Oryctolagus cuniculus: one gene and its partners. The protein of the gene in region 4 interacts with the protein of the main gene of each other region in a biochemical or structural test. Links are inferred from orthologs where the notes say so. Each region holds a gene or a part of one and is shown on either strand. Other genes may lie near its edges. The genes, in order: BCL11A, GTF2B, BCL11B and NR2F1.

Region 1 (4,671 bases), on a different chromosome or scaffold from region 4:
CCTGGGGAGAATGAGAGGCGTGGGGTTAGCAAGAGCACCCAGCCAGTGCTGCACCTCCCAGTCCCCAACCTCGGAAGGCAGAGCTGCTCCTTGAGTTTGATCCTTGGAAGCGTTCTTTGTGACGACTTTGCTTGGCCTAGGCCATGATGAAATGATTGAAGGCATCGTAGCAGGAAGTTAAACCCTAGGGAGGCTGTTCACATGTACATTTCCAGTCCTCGTGGGAACTCCCATTCTACTTCCCGAGGAGACGGTTAGGAACACGTTTGGTGGAAGAAGCAGCAAGAATAAGCCGGGTGCCCATGTGGCTTTGCTTTGTCCCTCTTCCTGGAGGGAGATCAAGGCCGGCCTCAGCTTCTGCACAAAGTCTGCTTATGTGAATGGCTTGTCAGGCTGAGACATGGTTTGTTTTCCTTTAGTGGGCTAATTCTGCAGGGGAAGCAGTTAGAGGAGGAGGACTGTGGAAGTGAGTCCAGGGGCCCCAAGGTGGCAGAACAGGCTCTATTTTCTAGTTGTGAAACCCAGTTCATTGGAATCTTTTTTTTTTTTTATTTCAGTCCTTTCTTTTCCCCAGAAACATTTTATTTAAGGTATACAAACTTCATAAACACAAATTTAGGAACATAGTGATTCTCCCCGCCCACCCACCCCCCCCCCCCACTTGCACTCCCACCCTTCCTCCTCCTCCTCCTATTCCATGGGGACCTTTGGAAGGCCCCACTGGACACTGCTGGGCTGGGCTGCTCTTCCTTCCGCTGAGAGGTGAATGGATGAATAGATGGAGAAGCCTCCTTCGTGGCATTTCTTGGGCAGTGAGGACCAAGGCAGGGTCAGCAGAGGGTGGAGTAGATGTGCCGGGAGAGAGCAGTGGTCAGAGACTGGTTTTAATCTTCGCTTGGTGATGAACTGTCAGTACAGCCACTGGCACGTCACTTGATTTCTCAAGACCCTGTTTCCCCACCTGTGAAATTAGGCACAGATTGGAGGAGCACTAAGGTGTTTTTTTTTTTTTTAACCAACATTTAAAAAAATCAAAAAACAGTAGGCATTGTAGAGCTGCCTCTTGGGACTCCCCCAACCCATACTGGAGTCCCTAGTTTGAGTCCCGCCGCCGCTTCTGATTCAGCTTCCTGCTAATGCACCTGGGGTACACCAGACAATCACCCAAGGACATGGATCCCTGCCACCCACATGGGGTGCTCAGATGGAGCTCCTGGCTCCTGGCTTTGGCCTGGCTCAGCCTCAGCTGTTGTGGGCATCTGGGGAGTGACACAGTGGATGGAAGATCTCTCTGTCACTGTTGTGTTTCAAATAAATAAACACAGTAAATCTTTAGAAAGGAAGCAAGCTGTGAAGACAGATGCAGAGATGCTGTCAAGGGTGAGGCCGCCCTTTGCTGCGTGATCCGGTGGCTGCAGCCGCTCAGGGTGCGGATGAGTTTGCCAGTTGGAGAGCCATGCTAATGGCTGAGCTGGGTAGGTTAGCAGTTCTCGCAGGAGGCCTTTCGAAGCACCTTAGGGTTCCCTGGCGTGGTTAAGTGGCAGGGAATTTGAAATTAGACTCTCTGCATGCAGGATGTCTAAGGACCTTAAGCTGAGGTCACAGAGATACCTCAGTTGTATGGGTTTCCTAAGAAAAGGATTTCAGTCTTGGCAGCAAGCAAACTTATTAAACAGCCAAGGCAAGAACAAGTGCAAAAATGGATTCTCAGATTTCTTGTTGAAAACTACTAGGACTAAATCTGTCGTTAATTTTACTCCGTACTCTGAATTCATTTAACATGGATAGTCAGATGTAGACACACTTGGTCTCTGAGTCTGGTTTTCCTGCATTTGCTGGTTCCTTTTGTGGTTGTTATTGTGTGTTGGGTCGGGGCGGAGGAAATGCCTCTAGATGGTCTCAGGCTGGGTCGTGCCTCCACTGCAGGTCTGCTGACAATAGATTTATGCTTTCTGTACTGTAAGAGCTGTCTCGAGCAACACATTGCTGTTACCCACCGGCTGCTCATGAAAGGAGACCTTGTCCCAACTACCCTGGCTGCACTTGGCATTGAGGTGTGTATAAGGAGAACAGGATGTGGTTTTACACCGGACACCTGCTATCCTGGAGCACAACAACACACTTCGAAGTTCTCTTAATATTAAGCTAATGGAAAACATACTCTCTGCTCACCCTCGAAATCTGTTTTTCTTCTCTCTCACCTCTCCTAGTCATCACACACTGCAGGCCTCCAGAACATAGGGAGTGTCCCCTACCCTGTCCACCCTCCACTCCTCCTCACAGTGGATATCCACTTGGTCAGTTTGTGGAAGCTGGATTTGGAAAAACCAGGATCTCAGGGGGCACAAACCAATTACTTCCCTTACAAATAAATATATCAGTGCCGGAAATGCTTGATTGATTGCTAGGTTCATGATTGTTAGTGCAAGAAGTCACCTGTCCTAACTAGAGTGCCACAGGAGCCGAGGACCTGGGACGGTAGGCTGTGGTTTCTGGATGTGACTGTTACTGCACATGGGTTCTTGCCTTATTCTTTAATGCTTTAATTCCTCACTCTCAAGGGGGTCCTGGGCCAAAGCTATGTTAATCCTTTATTCTCCAGTGCTGTGTGTTGTGAGAAGTGATGCCTACACCCACTACCCTGTGGGTAGGATTCTAGAAGGTGACCTGCCAACTCCTAAAATGCCCAAATTTCCTTGTCACTGAAGGTCATATCATAAATATAGTTGGGGGGGAGCGGGCAATGTGTTGGGGAAGGGAGAGTGGGACTTCATCCTATTAAAAAAAATGGTTGGTAAATCCACTCATTTTATGAGCATATTGTTCTTTGTTTGTGTTTGTCTTTAAAGTAATGTATGCCTGGGAACCAGCCTTGCAGGGAGGTCTCCCCATTTTGCCGACCTACCTGTGGTATCCCCCACTTTCTCCTTGCTGCGCATCTCTTACCGTAAGAGAATAATCAAACAGCCACGAACAGGTGAACCAAAGACTCTCCCACCATACCTGTAAGAAGCCTGTTTCCTTTAGCCAAAAAAGGCCAGGGTTGAAAACAAAACAAAAACTGGGGGAAGTCACTCACCTCTGTTCTTTTGCTCAGGCTTTGGGCCTGTTCACTATGTGCAAGGCTGTTCGATGATGTTACTCTGTGTTGATGGAACCGCGATGTGCTGTCCTGTCGTTTGTGTGTTGTTTGTGGCTGCAGCTCCTGATGTTGGGTTTCTTTCACAGATAAACTTCTGCACTGGAGGGGCCTGGCTTCCCCTCGGTCTGCACACGGAGCTCTAATCCCCACGCCCGGGATGAGCGCAGAGTACGCCACGCAGGGTATTTGTAAGTTGAGCATTATTTCTTCTACAAGTGTCCGTGTGTATAGAGATGGGAGTTGCTGGAAATTACCCTTACTTTTTAAGTACTGAAGGGAGTTACTTCCAAAATAGGCTGGCACCCGCAGATGCATTATTCCATTACTCACTTGGCACCCGCTCCCTGGCTCCACTCAGCCCCAAGAGTGACTTTCCCCTTCTCCTTTTTCCCTCTGCTCACTGCAGGCACGGAGCTGACAGCAGCTCTCCCTTGTGGGTCTGCTCCCCAGGGTCTTGGCTGGCTCCAGGCTGGGGACTGGATACAGCTGTGTGTGCAGAGTCTATGTTATAGCTGGACACTCACTCCCGGGCCTCACGGAGGACTTGGGATTATTCCACGATGTCCACCTCCAGCAGACTCCAGACCCAAAAGGAGTCCGTTGGCAGTCACTCTGCTGCATTTTATTGATGCATTTACATTTGTATTTGAACGTGGCATACTTCTACATATACCTGGCACATCACGTATGTGCAAGTATAAGCATATACAGGCTGCCCTCTGTATCTGTGGGCTCAGCATCTGCACAGTAACCCATCAGGGATCGAAAATATTCAGGAAAAAAAAGGAATGACCTCTGTACTGAACATGAACAGACTTGCTGTTGTCACTCCCTAAACAACACAGCCTCACAGCCATTTATTGAGCATTTACATTGTGCGTGGTATTGTAAGTAGTTTAGAGGTGATTTAAAGTACGCAGGAGGATGTGTGTGGGTTGTAAGAAAATACTATGCCATTTTATGTAGCACCCATGGATTCTGTATCCAAGAGGTCCTAGACCCGATCCCCTGCAGATACTGAGGGATGACGATACATATGCATACATGTGTACATACACGTATGTAGGCATAACACAGACATGATTTCTACCCATTTTCTCCTAGTTTTGGAGAAAAATACACAGCACTGTAGTTAAAATGTAAAGATACCACCACTACCATCATCCAGTCACTCGTCGAAGCCAACGTTGATAGTGAGGACTTTTCTAGGAAATTGGGAACCTTTTATGACATTTAGATTTGCATGTTTATAACAGCGATTTTGGAAAGGTGCTGTTTGAGGAGGTCGTACAGTGTGCTTCTCTGGGTAGGAACACATGGCATGAATCATGCATGGCTAAAATATGGAGGGGGGAGCGGCTGCTTCTACCCTCAGCAGAACAAAGCAGGTTCAAAGGGAGAAAAGAAGTGTGGCCATCTAGTTGCTATTTGGAAAGTAAGTGGAAAGGAAACAAGAAAAGATGGGGAAAGGGTCACGGGAAGAGAGTGCCCACGAGCAAGAAGCAAGAGTTAAGGCTGCGCAGGGTCTG
Region 2 (5,296 bases), on a different chromosome or scaffold from region 4:
TTACTCTCCAAATGCCCACAATGCCTGGGACTGGGCCAGGCAGAAGGCAGAAACCAGGAGCTCCATCTGGTCTCCCATGTGAGTTTCAGGGGCCCAAGCCCTTGGACCATCTTCCACTACTTTCCATGGTGCATTCTCAGGGAGCTGGATCAGAAGCAGAGTAACTGGGACTCTAACCAGCACTCATGTGGAATGCTGGCATCACAGGCAGTGGCTCAACCTGCTACAGCACAACACCAGCCACAGTAAAGTTTTTTTAAAACAAGTAAATCTAGTTAAGTCACAAACTTTTCTTTACATATTAGGTATCCAAACATTTTTTCACTTTAGCACATTAAGTTGTGATTTCACAAAGCTGATACCAACTTTTCAAATAAGTTCTGAAGTTTAAAAATATGATAATTTAAATTAATAAATTATTTTGAATAATTAACATTCACTAATCATGTAACTTTACATTGATTATTAAAATAAAAATGGTGATACAAACTAAAAGTCTGGGTAAATGCTAGTCTAGGTCAGTGAGTCCTTGGTGATAAAATCTCGGTTTTGTGCAGTTGTATTTTAATCCCGGGATCACAAATAAAGGTAAAGGGGAATAACATTAATGAAATGCTTTATAAATGACTAATGCTATATTAACAAAAAGAAAAAGAGCGGCTTACATAGGCTGCCTGCTATTTTAGTAGGAATGAAACTTGTGGAAGGGTGTGATAGAGACACTGCAGGTGGGGAGCAGTGATGCAACCATTGCTCTGAAGCCCTCCTCTTGGGTTACCATTTCTCCAAGGGTTTGTTACTTCAGCAAATGTTACTGAATTTCTGCCTCCAGTCTACCAGGTGCCAGCTCCGTATTGGTAATCCTCGGGAATTGTTCCCTTGCCCTTTGCTCTTTTCTTCTTCCCTCAAGCCAAGAAACTCTCATAGAGAAAACTCACTACTAAGTATCCCCTAGGCCTTTCCCTGATTGAAGTGGGAGGTCATTTTGAAACTTTCCCAAATATTAAGGGGTGGGGGACACAAGCATACAAATTTTTAAATTCCAGAATGGAAGACTCAAAAAAAAAAATGCTCCCCTATTCCCATCCATATTTCAGTTTCTAAATTCCTGCTTCTCACACTTACTCTTCCCAAGAGTAAGTTTTCCCAAGAAAATGGAGTTAAAAGATTTATTTTGTTGGAAAAAATTGAAATTCATGCATAGTTTTTTCATCATATGCATTTTCAAGAACTTTTAAAAATCCTTTGTATGCATGGATTTCAAAATTCTATAAATCCCATTATCCATGAACTTTTTTGAAATCCTCTTGTATCTTCCACATTTAAAAAAAAAAAAAGGTGTGGTCAGCAGAGTTTAAGGCTCATTTTCTCAAAACAAAGCAGTTACTATATCCTCATCCTCATAGAAACAAGGAATCACCCTTTCTCCTCCAATCCCTACACTGTCAAGGGTGGCTTGCTTTCAGCAAACTGGTGGTGTTTTTGCTATTATTTGACCTTAATTTGGCTAATGAATACATCAAGGGACTTCTTGTGGCATCTAGGCGTTCTGCCAAGTTGTCTAAACTTAGCTATCAGCCAAATTTCCAAAGGCCATGAATAAAAGCCGTCAGGGCAGGGCCCATAGCTTCGTGCCTCCGGAGCACACAGTGCTGTCACATGGTTTTGTTTCATCTCCTGCCAATTCTGGAAGGGTATGCGAGGCAGATCCTAATACCCCCTGAGAAGACTCGGCGGCGTGGTGGCCGATGGCAGAGCCTGAATTGACATCCGCTTCGGATGACCTGAGTGAATCGCTCTCTTTATCCCAAATTCCTTAGTAATAGAGAACCACCCCTCGTGGCAAGTGAGAACCGCGTTTACACAGGGATAAATGGCAGGGAAGAGGGAGGGAGAGAGGCTGGGGTCAGCCCTCAGGGATGTGGGCTTTGCCCCCTCCACGAAGCCAGCGTTTTCTTCGCGCTTTAACTCGGTCAAATTGAAAAGGAGCCCGTTTGCAGGGTTCCCTTGAGACCTTCCCCGGGTAATTTCACAGACTCGCCGACCCACCTAGTAAACAACAGACGACATAAGAAAATGCAAAGCGTACGACACACAGGGACTCATTGTTCTTGGCCCTTCTCCCGACCCGTAGCCGCACCCTGTTACGACTGCGTGGCTGACTCGCCTATAAAAGCCCGTCTCGGGGCGTCTCGCCGCCACAGGCTCTTCCTGTTTCTGGCGTAGCAGTCGTCGCTCGGTGGTGGAACCGCAGCGGCCGTGAAGATGGCGTCCACAAGCCGGTTAGTAGGTCCCGCCGAGCGCGGCCAGCGAGCGCCGCGGATTCTGGGCGGCCGGCGGGGGCGGTCGCGTCTGACGAAGCGCCGGGAGGTATCGGGGAGCGGCGGCGGGGGCTGGCAGGCTGCCCCGGACAATGGCACTTCCATGCGGCAGGACTGTCAGGGCTGTCGCGGGGGTACCGAGCCGTCGACGTTACCGCCCGAGCGCCCTGGGTCATCTCTAACCCCAGATTCCATCCTGCGCGGGCCCCTGTATGCCCAGCCCCTTGTCCTCGCGTCTTGGGCGAAGATATCAGCCGTCTTTTTCCCTTGTTAATTTTTTCTACGCTTGTTTTTCCAATCCACGGCCCAACTGGCCTTAGAGTCCTCAGTTCCCCCCCCCCCCTTTTTTTTCTTTCAAAGAGCGGGAAACGTTTATCCTAGGCCCATATTGATCTGACAGCTAAAAAGTTGGAAACGTCAGCGCTGGTAAGCCGAAAGGAAACTGATTACCATCCCCGCGGCCCTCCCAGGGGAAGCCAGGAGAGGCTAGGGCTCATCCCAAGACTTGATTAGCCCCCTTGCTGAAGGATTGCGCTGCGAATGTTTTCGTCTGTATAATCCTGAAGAAAGTCTTGCCTGCAGAAAAAAATTACCTAGATATACTGAGATACTCTGTCATATATTTTGAAAACGTACTCATCTACAGGAAATGCATGCAGTGCCCTGCGAGGCAGCCTTTAATCATGTGACCTGAAAAACGCTTACAGACCCTAATTATGTCTCTCATTGCTGTTAGGGCAGATACTAGTATTTTTGCGTGAGTGTAAACTGAGTCATGGCCATGTTGACTTTTTCAAGGTTAGTGAGAGAGTGTAGTCTAAGACTCCTGTTTCCTGTTATATCACATGATCGGCCTATAGTTAATGCACTGTATTAAACATAGCAGATTAAGTTCTAAGCTTCTAGAGGCAACTGTGGCGGTTTTCTGAACCCATTATCATGTGCGGGGTGGATGCATTTCACCAGGGAACGCCATTGATCATAAAGTAAGCTAGGAAGGTCCAGGATAGACTCACCGTATTCTGGTAATAACATCAACGAAAAATGGGGGGGAGCAGTTTTTGCTAATGTCTGGAAATAACTCTTACTGCCCGTGACACCCTTGTTTATTGACTATAGTTCTGTGATTGAATGCTCAATCATAGTGTCTGGGTGTGGTTCTGTCAGGTAAGGCTTCCTTACAGATAAATGGAAAACTTCAGCTTCGCTAAATGAGGCTTACGTTCTCTCGTGAGTTATTTGGGAGGTAGCTATATCTGTGCACAGCGTTTGCATATACTGGAACAGGAAATTTTATCCGTAAAAAGCTAATGGTACACATAAAATAAAGTCACTGAATAGATTGTTTACACAAAGAATACACCAAACTTGAAATACAGATTTTTTTTTTCAGGCATATCCATCTCCTAAATTTACGCGTCATTGTGGTTCATCCATCTTTCAAGGTTTTCTACCTAGTGAAACAAAGTAAATGTTAGTGTTTCTACTTTTAGCCTCCCCCCCCCCCCACACAATGATTTACAGGCAGTAAAAATTGGTGTTCTCAACAGAGAAGAGCATGAATGTTCTGAGTTGAAAGTCTAAGCTCCACCACTTATCTTGTGACTTCAGGCAAGTCATAATCTTTAAAATGGTGATAATGCCTATTTTGTGGGATTGTAGAAAAGGTTGATGATATTCAGTGTATAGCACTAGGCAATTGATAGCCATAAAATGAGATTTGTGATTATATGGTGCCTTAGGTAGTCTAAACTGTTTTAACATCATTGGTGGTAGTTCTTTCCCTTGCTTCCGTATTTCTCTTTACTTCCTCCCCCACCACTGGGTTTTCCTCTTGTATGTTTTGTGTGATTACTGTAGTGTGATTTCATTTCACTTTAGCTGGGTGACACAGTACAAAAGCAAAATACCAGACTAGACAGTGAAAAGTAGTCTTGTTTTCTCCTAGCTCCCAGCATCTAATTCTCCCCAGAGCAACCATTGTTTTGTTTTGGTGTTTTCTTGGTGATTATGTTTTAACAAACATGCATGCAGTTTTGATCTCTTTTCACCCCAAAATGTAGCTGATGTAAACTGCTTTCACCTTACCTTTTGCCTGTTTTATGAACTTAGCATACAAAGTTCAAGTACACAACTCAGCTACAAAGTGAGGACATAGGCATAGCCACCACCCAGGTCAAGAAATCAAATAGTCCCAATGCACTAGCTAAGACAGTAACAAAGTCTCCTTTGTGTCCTTGGTCAGTGCCATGTCCCCAAGAAAGCCACATCCTGACTTCTACCTCCGTAGATTTGTTTCGCCCTTTTAAAGTTTATGAAAATGGCACAAGTATTCTGCTGTCTAGTTTCTTGGTCAGATTTTGAGATTCATCCATGTTATTGCATGTAAGTAGCTCAGGCATTTTTAGTGTTGAATAGACTCTATCTTCACTTAACATGTCTTTGAGGTTCCATGTCATTTATACAATACTTTAAGGTTTTCTGTATAGTTTTTAATAGCACGGAAATCTTATGTCAATCCTTTAGATACTGTGTTCCATATGTCATCCTGTACTGCTGATTTGTACTTATTCTAGTGCTTCAACGTAGTTTTTTTTTTTAAATAATTTATGCCAACTGCTTAATTTTGTCACATTTTATTGAAATGTTAAGGAATCTATTTAATAGGCTGAATTTAAGCTATATCTGGCCCCATTTTCCTAGTTAGAAAATACAATACCTGTTCTGGTTAATTTGACTATATAAATTTGGGAGATACGGATTTTTTTTTTTTTTTTTTTTTTTTTTAGTTTTCTAATAGATATCACCTTCCAAGTTGAGAGTGAACATCCTGAATTATATTTTAAGTACAAGAAGAATGTTTATCCATAGCCATAAATATCCTATTTATACACTATAAGAATATTGATTTTAGTCTTTTAGGTGTATTTTTGTGATAGCTATAACAAATATTTTCTGTATTACTTTTTTTAAAT
Region 3 (4,671 bases), on a different chromosome or scaffold from region 4:
GCCAGTTTCGAATGCAGCAACATTTGCCGCTGCTCACGGCGCCTGCCTGTCAGACCGCACGCGTCCTCTCATTCCTCCGCGAGCTGGCAGTGCCAGGGCCCTCTGCAGGGGGTGAGGGAGGGTGCCTGGGCTGTGTGCAGGACACGGGGTGGGGGCGCCGTCTTCCCCGCAGACCCTGGCCCGGGTTCTAGGGTTTCCCTAGACCATCCTACCGCTGGATTCCCAGCCAAGTCTCACGGAAAAAAGTTCGTGTTTTTGTAAAGCTTCCTCCACTCAGAAGTGGCCGGAGCAGAGGTTCTCAGGGGCTGGGATTTTGCCCTGCCCCCTTCCGGTGGGGGTGGGGAGCGCTGCTTGGAAATGTCCAGCCCTGGTGACCAGGGACAGAGGGTGCTGCTGGCACCCAGCAGGTGCAGGCTGGAGTCCTGCTGTGCATCCCAGGTGGCACGGGACAGCCCCCAGGACTCCACCAGAGGCCCACCCAGTCCATGTGGTCCAGGTGGTTCCACACACACAGGGGCCCGGATGGCTCAGTGCACCCGCTGGTCTTTTATACCGGGTCAGGCACCTCCCAGACACCCAGAGGATGCAAGGCCCCCCACCTGGAGAGGCTAGGCCCAGGCGTAGCCCCAGGTGGCCTGTGCGCCAGGTGAGGACCCGGCCCCACCCGCCCGCCCACCTGCGCCCACCTGCGCCCCCCTGCCGCGACTCACGGCCTCTCTGACCTTGCTCTCCGCGTGTCTCCCCAGGTAAAGATGAGCCTTCCAGCTACATTTGCACAACATGCAAGCAGCCCTTCACCAGCGCGTGGTTCCTGCTGCAGCACGCGCAGAACACGCACGGCTTCCGCATCTACCTGGAGCCCGGGCCGGCCAGCAGCTCGCTCACGCCGCGGCTCACCATCCCGCCGCCGCTGGGGCCCGAGGCCGTGGCGCAGTCGCCCCTCATGAACTTCCTGGGCGACAGCAACCCCTTCAACCTGCTGCGCATGACGGGCCCCATCCTGCGCGAGCACCCGGGCTTCGGCGAGGGCCGCCTGCCCGGCACGCCGCCGCTCTTCAGCCCGCCGCCGCGCCACCACCTGGACGCGCACCGCCTGAGCGCCGAGGAGATGGGGCTCGTGGCCCAGCACCCCAGTGCCTTCGACCGAGTCATGCGCCTGAACCCCATGGCCATGGACTCGCCCGCCATGGACTTCTCGCGGCGGCTGCGCGAGCTGGCGGGCAACAGCTCCACGCCGCCACCCGTGTCGCCAGGCCGCGGCAACCCTATGCACCGGCTCCTGAACCCCTTCCAGCCCGGCCCCAAGTCCCCGTTCCTCGGCACGCCGCCGCTGCCGCCCATGCCCCCCGGCGGCACGCCCCCGCCGCAGCCGCCGGCCAAGAGCAAGTCGTGCGAGTTCTGCGGCAAGACGTTCAAGTTCCAGAGCAATCTGATCGTGCACCGCCGCAGCCACACGGGCGAGAAGCCCTACAAGTGCCAGCTGTGCGACCACGCGTGCTCGCAGGCAAGCAAGCTCAAGCGCCACATGAAGACGCACATGCACAAGGCGGGCTCGCTGGCCGGGCGCTCGGACGACGGGCTGTCGGCCGCCAGCTCGCCCGAGCCCGGCACCAGCGAGCTGGCGGGCGACGCGCTCAAGGCGGCCGACGGCGACTTCCGCCACCACGAGAGCGACCCGTCGCTGGGCCCCGAGCCCGAGGAGGAGGACGAGGAGGAGGAGGAGGAGGAGGAGGAGCTGTTGCTGGAGAACGAGAGCCGGCCCGAGTCGAGCTTCAGCATGGACTCGGAGCTGAGCCGCAACCGGGAGAACGGCGGCGGCGGCGGCGGCGCGCTGGGCGCGGGGCTGGGCGCGGGGCTGGGCGCGGGCGCGGGCGGCGGGCCCGGGCTGCCGGGCGCGGGCGGCGCGGCCAAGGCGCTGGCCGACGAGAAGGCGCTGGTGCTGGGCAAGGTCATGGAGAACGTGGGCCTGGGCGCGCTGCCGCCGCCCTACGGGGAGCTGCTGGCCGACAAGCAGAAGCGCGGCGCCTTCCTGAAGCGCGCGGTGGGCGCGGGCGGCGACCCCGGCGGCGGCGGCGGCGGCGGCGGCGAGGACGACGCGGGCGACGCGGGCGCGGGCGGCGCGGTCAACGGGCGCGGGGGCGGCTTCGCGCCGGCGGCCGCCGAGCCCTTCCCGGGGCTCTTCCCGCGCAAGCCCGCGCCGCTGCCCAGCCCCGGGCTCAACAGCGCGGCCAAGCGCATCAAGGTGGAGAAGGACCTGGAGCTGCCGCCCGCCGCGCTCATCCCCTCCGAGAACGTGTACTCGCAGTGGCTCGTGGGCTACGCCGCGTCGCGCCACTTCATGAAGGACCCCTTCCTGGGCTTCACCGACGCGCGCCAGTCGCCCTTCGCCACGTCGTCGGAGCACTCGTCCGAGAACGGCAGCCTGCGCTTCTCCACGCCGCCCGGGGACCTGCTGGACGGCGGCCTGTCCGGGCGCAGCGGCACGGCCAGCGGCGGCAGCACGCCGCACCTGGGCGGCCCGGGCCCCGGGCGGCCCAGCTCCAAGGAGGGCCGCCGGAGCGACACGTGCGAGTACTGCGGCAAGGTGTTCAAGAACTGCAGCAACCTCACCGTGCACCGCCGCAGCCACACGGGCGAGCGGCCTTACAAGTGCGAGCTGTGCAACTACGCGTGCGCGCAGAGCAGCAAGCTGACTCGCCACATGAAGACGCACGGGCAGATCGGCAAGGAGGTGTACCGCTGCGACATCTGCCAGATGCCCTTCAGCGTCTACAGCACCCTGGAGAAACACATGAAGAAGTGGCACGGCGAGCACTTGCTGACGAACGACGTCAAGATCGAGCAGGCCGAGCGCAGCTGAGCGCAGGCGCGCGCGCGCGCCCGTGCGCCCCGCACCTGCGCGCCCGCCGCCCCGCGCGCGCGCCCGACCCGTGTCTGCCAAGTCGCACGGAGACCCGAGGGTTGATGGAGGCACTGAACATTGTGGAGCCTTTTAACTGTGCAATAATTTCTGTATTTATTGGGTTTTGTAATTTTTTTTTTGGCATGTGCAGGTACTTTTTTTTTTTTTTTAATTATTATTCTCTTCTGTTTAAATTCCTTTAAGAAATTTTGTTGGGTATCCGTCCCTTCTTCGTTTTTTTTTTTTTTTTTTTTTTAAAACAAACAAACCCCGTAGTAGCCTGAGCAATGACTCGCAAGCAGTGTGGAGGGAGCCGAATGTTTTAAATTATAATTTGGGGTAGGGGCGCTGCTTTTTTGAGATTTAAGCTAAGCATGTGTAATTTCTTGTGAAGAAGCCAACACTTCAACGATTTTGAAGTTGTTTACTATTTTATTCCTTCCTTTTTACATTTTTTTGGCCTGAAATGAAATGTGGCATGCGGTTTCTGCCTTTTGTTTTGTTTCGTTTTGGGGGCATGTCAGCGGATAACAATCCCTAACGTTGTAGCACTTTGTTTCAGAAGTGGAATGGAGGCGCAGCCCAGGAGCTCCGACTCACAGAGGCCTTTTCTGTGTTCACTTCAGCTCTCACCGTTCTGTAAGGGAAACTTGGGGGGCGGCACCCCAAACTCAGCACCCCCCACCACCACCACGGGGGGGGCGGGCGGAGAGGGGTCTGAAGCTGGGTGTTGCCCACAGATGCTGTCCTGGGTGCCCTCTCTGCTCTGTGCCCCAGGGGAGGCCAAACCACGGCCCGGCCCCCTGTGGGTCAGTGGCCTGTAAGTGAGTTCTTTCTGGCCACTTCTGGCCCCACAGGCCCTCTCCCCCAACTCCCACCACGGAAGCCCCATGTCCCACGGTGCCAGCAGTGGTGGCCGATCCTTTGCCGGGAAGTCACGTGGCCTGGTAGCCAGGGGAGGCAGTCGGTGCACGCTGAGCTGGCCGGGCTGCAGGGACAGGGGGAGGAACCCTAGGAATTTCTGCCCTTTCTCCGGAAGAGCAAGGGGAGAGACCCCGCCACTGGGGCCCCCCGTGCTGCTTCCCAGTTTTCCCCCTCTCGTTAGGTTGGAAGGAGCTCAGCATTGGACTGTTAAGATTAGACATTTGGATTCTGTTGACCCGCACTTTAAAAGCTTTTGTTTGCATTTAAATTCAATGGCTTCTAAACAAGAAATTGCAACATATTCTTCTCTTTGGCCCAGAGGTGGGTTGAACTCTAAGGGACAGCGAGATTGAGTGTCAGTGTTGCTAAGCGTGGCATTCACAATGCTGGCACTATAAAGAACAAAATCAAGTTACTTGCTGGACAGTTCTGCTGCCACCCAATCTGACGTGAGTGCCTTGAAAACTGATCTTCCTATCCGAGTCTCTTGAGACAAATGCAAAATTTTTTTTTTTTTGAAATGAAAGGACTTTTTAAAAAAGTAAAACGAGAAAAGCCACATTTACTTTAAATTAAAAAAAAAAATCCTGGTTGAAGAGAGAGGACATGAAAATGCCATAGAAGACCCAATCAAATGAAGAAATAAACCCAGCACAACCTTGGACATCGCGAGCTGAACTGTACACAACCCCTTTTGCATTTGGGACAACGCTGCTTAGATGTGGAGCGGAGGTAACTTACTGCTGAACTTACATGTTGCTATCGTTGAATGAAAATAAAAACAATTCAGGAACAACGGCTAATTTTTTCTAAAGTTAAATTTAGTGCACTCTGTCTTAAAAATA
Region 4 (4,671 bases):
ATTTACAAAGCATTCTGATACCTTCATCTACAAGGCAATGGCCTCGAGCAAAAATACAAATAAAACTAGTGATAATTCAAGAACTTCTGAGGCAAGTCCCCTTTGACCTCGGAGCTAGACTGGGCTCTCCTCAGATGTCTAATTACTCCAGCCAGTTGGCTGGGTACATCCACAATGCCTTGACTTGGGGAGCCAGGGAGATTTTATGGCTAGCAGGGCCAGGACAGGAGCTTTTTTGCGGAGGTAGGAGGGCCTTGCTGCTCAGAATATGGACCTAGAAGTCTGCCTTGGCCTTGCTAACCTGGCCCCCTGCAAGGCAATCCTGCAAGGCATATTTACATATTTACAAATGTCTTGCTTTCCATGTATTATCCGCCCATTATGCCAGGAATCACTTTCAGGCCCACACAATGCAAAAGGAAAAGGACCCACTTATACCCCAGCAGGTTTTTTTAAAGACCCATTTGGCATCCCTTCCAATTAGTAAAATATTTCTCTGATATTTACAACTAAAATCCCCAGAGAGCAAGGTCACTTCCCCAACTCCTGGATAAGCCACTCCAAGGGAGAAGCCCAGTTAAAGTGTGCTTAGGCCTTATGCTAGCTCCTTCGGTTTCTTTCCTCCTTGGGAGGTGGGAGGTCTGTAGCTGGGCCCACCTGCCAGGTACCAGCCGGCCAGCCCTGTGGCCTCCTTCCGGCAAGAGCCCTGGTTCTGGCCTGGCTTCCTACTCTGAGTATTCATTCACTGCCCCCACCCCCCAACACACAGGATTCCCCCAACTGTGGACAGAAGGCAAGAGCCCTCAGATCAACTGGGGGGTGGGTTATGGTGGCAAAGCGAGGTGAGCGGGGGCGGGGGGTGTGTGTGAGTTATACTCCAGATAAGAAAAGGAGGCAGAATGTGCACAATCCATGTCTCACTTTTTATATGGTAGTGTCAATGTGGGAACCCTCAATATTTCTTCTACAGTGTATGGAAAAGAAATTATGTAAATAAATAACCATTACTGCCGAGGCCCTCCTGGCTTAGCCTTTGTAGTGCAGAGAATGTATTTCATGTTGTGCATTCACAAGAGTTTAGTGTTCAGGAAATGTAGATGTAATCAGCTGCCATAACTAGAAATCAAAGTTATTATTGTACAGAAAATGGATTTATTGTATTTATGTTAACTAGATGGCTCTTTTCAGAGAAGGTCTCATTTATTTGAAGGAATATTTAGGTGTGTGAATTAATGAAAAAAATTTTTTTAAAAAAAGTAAGTTCAGGTCATGACCTAGTCCTTGGATGCTGTCCAGAATATTAAGGATTAAACATAGCATCCGGAGGCCAAATGTGAAAACCACCACGGGGGACCCCCGTGCCAGCTTCAAATACTTAACCAGAGCAAACCACGTTGGACAATATGTCTAAAACTGTCTTTTCCATCATTCAAAGTTTGCTTAAAAGTTGGATGACTTTGAGAAGGCTTCCCATGAATTCCCTTCTGGCTGGCAATCAAAACAAGTTTAGTCAAAAGTGGAAACGTGTTGTAGGGAGGAGGAGGGGTGAATTACTACTGACAGCTCTATTTCCATTTTCAGATATTCCGCTTTCAATTCTCCAACAAAATAATGTTATTGTTCACTTCTAGGCACCCCCTGCACCTTGAACACTTGGTTCAAGGAAACTTCTTTGGGAAACTTTTTAAAAGGAGCACTTTTCACAGGAGTGTTTTAGGACGGAAAGTTAAAAGAAAAAGCATGAATAATTCCACCATGTTCCCCCTGCAGCCTGCACAGTCCTCGGCTCTCTCTCTGGGAAAGGGCAGGAGATCAGCAAAGTCAAGGGGGTTCAAAGACCCTTAGGGGGAGAAAGGCTAAGGGGAGGGGAGGCCTTTCTCCGGTAGACCTCTGTCCAGCTCCAAGTTAACATTTCTGCTTCAAGACACCTCGCTGGATGCGATTTTCAACCCCCAGCTTCCCTGACACTGGCTTGCTTCCTGATAAATTTGGCTAAAGAGCTGGGTAGCGCAGAGCCAGCCAGGCCCCCAGGCCTGCCAGAGCTAAAGCATTCTGGTCGCTGCTTCCCGGGCTCTTTGTCACTTTTGAAAAACACGTTTCCATCAAGAAGACTTATTAAGATAAAATGCATTCAAACACCGAGGAGGCTATTCAATAAATCTTCCATTTGTTTTAAGGTTCACACTCTATCCTTTCGCAAAGAATAACTCCCTCTCTCACAGGCAGACCTGCATTTGCACTGAAAGTAAAAGGGGCAGCTTAGGTCCATGGCTCTGGCCACCCTGCATACAAATGAGACGCTCTTGTCTAAATAAATTATCTGCTGCTCAGATCGATATTAATACTACATTTGCTACATTACAATATTGTGCAAATTTAAGAGTCATTTTAATACAATGTAAATACGATTCTTCACGCATGAAAGCCAAGATATATTGATAGATGAGACCACTGCTTACTGCTCAGCAAGGCCTTGGGAAAGGGGTTTTTTCCATCTCTGCTCAAGAACGGGTTTCATCTGGCCTTTGGAGGGCCTGGCCCCAGGATGGATTTATGAGGATGGTGCATTTGTTCTCCGGATGGAGGAATTACAAACAATAGTGCCAACAACAGTGGCAGAACAGCCGCTAACTCTACCCACAGTGGGCAGGGCTCAAGACCCAGTCTGCTCCCCACCAGCCTCCTTTCTGGCTTTGTTTATATTCCCTCCCCCCATTACCTGCTGTCCCGGGTGTTTATATGTTTGCCTCTTGCAGGTTACAATAATAAAAGGCCGGCAGTGTTCGCAGAGGCTCAGACCCGAGGCCTTCAAAGGCAACGTTAATGCTCTTTCCTGGAAGTTAATTTGAACCATCTATCATAAGAGAAATTGTTAACATGCATGTGACCGCTGCCTCCACTTAATTCGATATATTTTGAAGGCTCTCCTTTAGGTTTCCAGCGTTCGTGTGTTTGGCATAGCTATGAAATTTATCTCCGGGCCGGGAAGGCACCCATCCTTGCGGGTTCTACAATCTTGCTTTTGTTTTTTATCTTTCTTGTTTAGATCGAATCCGTTTTTTATGACCCTCAATAACCTCAGAAACTGCAAACATGAATGGTTTCCGATAAGGGAAAATCAGGCAGCCATAAAGCGGGATTATTTATGATTTATTTGTGCGTATTCTTCTCTTCCCTCCTCTCTCTCTCTCTGTGTCTCTCTGTGTGGGGAAACTCATCCCCGGCGCGTGGCACACGGAGTAGGAAGCTACAGCTCCACGTTCTCTTCCCTCCCCTCTCCTCCCCCAGAAACGCTGAGCTCGGGCTCACACACACACACACACACGCGCGCGCGCACACACACACACACACACGCATCCCGCACACACACACCCCGCACACCAGAGCAGCCAGGCAGGCCCGCGGCATCGCCTCCCCCTCTCCGCACACGCGCATCCACCGCAGCCGCGGCCCCGCGCGGGGGGCCAGGCCACCTAGGCCCTGGTAAGCCCCGGCGGCCGCCTCGGCTCCCGCACCGCAGCGCTCCCAAGATGGCAGCAGCGCGGCCCGGCCGCGTCCCCGCGCCGGGGCCGCAGACCCAGGTCAGGCCCACGATCCGGCAAGGGCCGGGCCTCGTGCGCCCGCACCCGCAGCGGCGGCGGCTGCGGCGGCGGCGCGGGTAGCCAGGCCCCGCGGGCGGTGGCGGCGGCGGCGGCGGCGCGGAGCCTGCGCTCGCTCCCGGCGCGGCCTGCCCTCCGCGCGGGCGCAGCCTCACCTGACGTGAACAGCACGATGGCCTTGAGGCAGCTGTACTCGGCCGAGTCGACGTGCAGCGCCTTGAGCTTCTCCACTTGCTCCTGGAAGATGCGGATGTGGTCCATGAAGGCCACGACGCGGTCGGCGGACATGGGCGAGGCGTGCAGGCCGGCGGCTGCCAGCAGCGGCGCCACGTGCAGCGGCATGGAGCACTGGGCCGCGTTGAGCACGAATAGCTCGCTCCAGGTGAGACGCAGCAGGGACACTTGGTCGGTGATCTGCAGGTCCGGGAAGAAGGGGATGTTGCGGGCCCACTCGACGGCGCTGAAGAGCAGGCGCGCGGCCAGCTCGCAAATGTTCTCGATGCCCATGATGTTATTGGGCTGCATGCACTGGCTGCCGTAGCGCGACGTTGGGTAGGGCTCGGCGCGCAGCAGCAGCGAGATGTAGCCAGACAGGTAGCAGTGGCCGTTGAGGGGGTCCCCGTTGGTGAGTGCGTACTGGCCTGGATTGGGCTGGGTAGGAGGCATTCTTCCTCGCTGAACCGCTGACGGAGAGACAGAGAGAAAAGAGGCAATGTGCATCCAGGGGGCTTGCGAACAACGCCGCGCCGCAGCGCACCCGACACAATGCAGCAGCTCTGCCCGCAGCCACAGGCGCCCCGCGCCTCTCCTGCTGGCTCCCACTCCCGGCCCACACCGTGCGAGCCGGGGCTCGGTCCTCCAGCGCCAGGGCTCGGGGTGTCCGTCCAGCCATCGCCCGAGCCCCTGGCCACCTCAGCCCCGCCAGAACTAGGCCTGACTTCAGAGCCCCCAGCTCCGCGTGGCCAAGGAAGTGCCACCCAAACCCTGGGCTACCAAGGAGGAACACACAGATAAAGGACACCCCACCCCACTCACCCCCTCCGGAATGAAACAAATCGGGGTCAAGGAAGAA

The links.
Region 1: the proteins of NR2F1 (region 4) and BCL11A form a complex in vitro, tested with the Homo sapiens proteins (2 studies listed by BioGRID). The link is inferred for Oryctolagus cuniculus from reciprocal best matches to the Homo sapiens genes NR2F1 and BCL11A.
Region 2: the proteins of NR2F1 (region 4) and GTF2B form a complex in vitro, tested with the Homo sapiens proteins (2 studies listed by BioGRID and IntAct). The link is inferred for Oryctolagus cuniculus from reciprocal best matches to the Homo sapiens genes NR2F1 and GTF2B.
Region 3: the proteins of NR2F1 (region 4) and BCL11B form a complex in vitro, tested with the Homo sapiens proteins (2 studies listed by BioGRID). The link is inferred for Oryctolagus cuniculus from reciprocal best matches to the Homo sapiens genes NR2F1 and BCL11B.

The regions. Positions count from the first base shown.
Region 1 is NC_091433.1:142,193,180-142,197,850, forward strand, and holds part of BCL11A (B-cell lymphoma/leukemia 11A), read left to right. Parts: intron 1-3,228; coding exon 3,229-3,330; intron 3,331-4,671. UniProt on the Homo sapiens protein: Transcription factor. Associated with the BAF SWI/SNF chromatin remodeling complex. Binds to the 5'-TGACCA-3' sequence motif in regulatory regions of target genes, including a distal promoter of the HBG1 hemoglobin subunit gamma-1 gene.
Region 2 is NC_091438.1:82,091,754-82,097,049, forward strand, and holds the start of GTF2B (transcription initiation factor IIB), read left to right. Parts: upstream 1-2,127; 5' UTR 2,128-2,265; coding exon 2,266-2,282; intron 2,283-5,296. UniProt on the Homo sapiens protein: General transcription factor that plays a role in transcription initiation by RNA polymerase II (Pol II). Involved in the pre-initiation complex (PIC) formation and Pol II recruitment at promoter DNA.
Region 3 is NC_091451.1:43,080,807-43,085,477, reverse strand, and holds part of BCL11B (B-cell lymphoma/leukemia 11B), read left to right. Parts: intron 1-746; coding exon 747-2,860; 3' UTR 2,861-4,671. UniProt on the Homo sapiens protein: Key regulator of both differentiation and survival of T-lymphocytes during thymocyte development in mammals.
Region 4 is NC_091445.1:16,209,795-16,214,465, reverse strand, and holds part of NR2F1 (COUP transcription factor 1), read right to left. Parts: intron 4,283-4,671; coding exon 3,755-4,282; intron 1-3,754. UniProt on the Homo sapiens protein: Coup (chicken ovalbumin upstream promoter) transcription factor binds to the ovalbumin promoter and, in conjunction with another protein (S300-II) stimulates initiation of transcription. Binds to both direct repeats and palindromes of the 5'-AGGTCA-3' motif.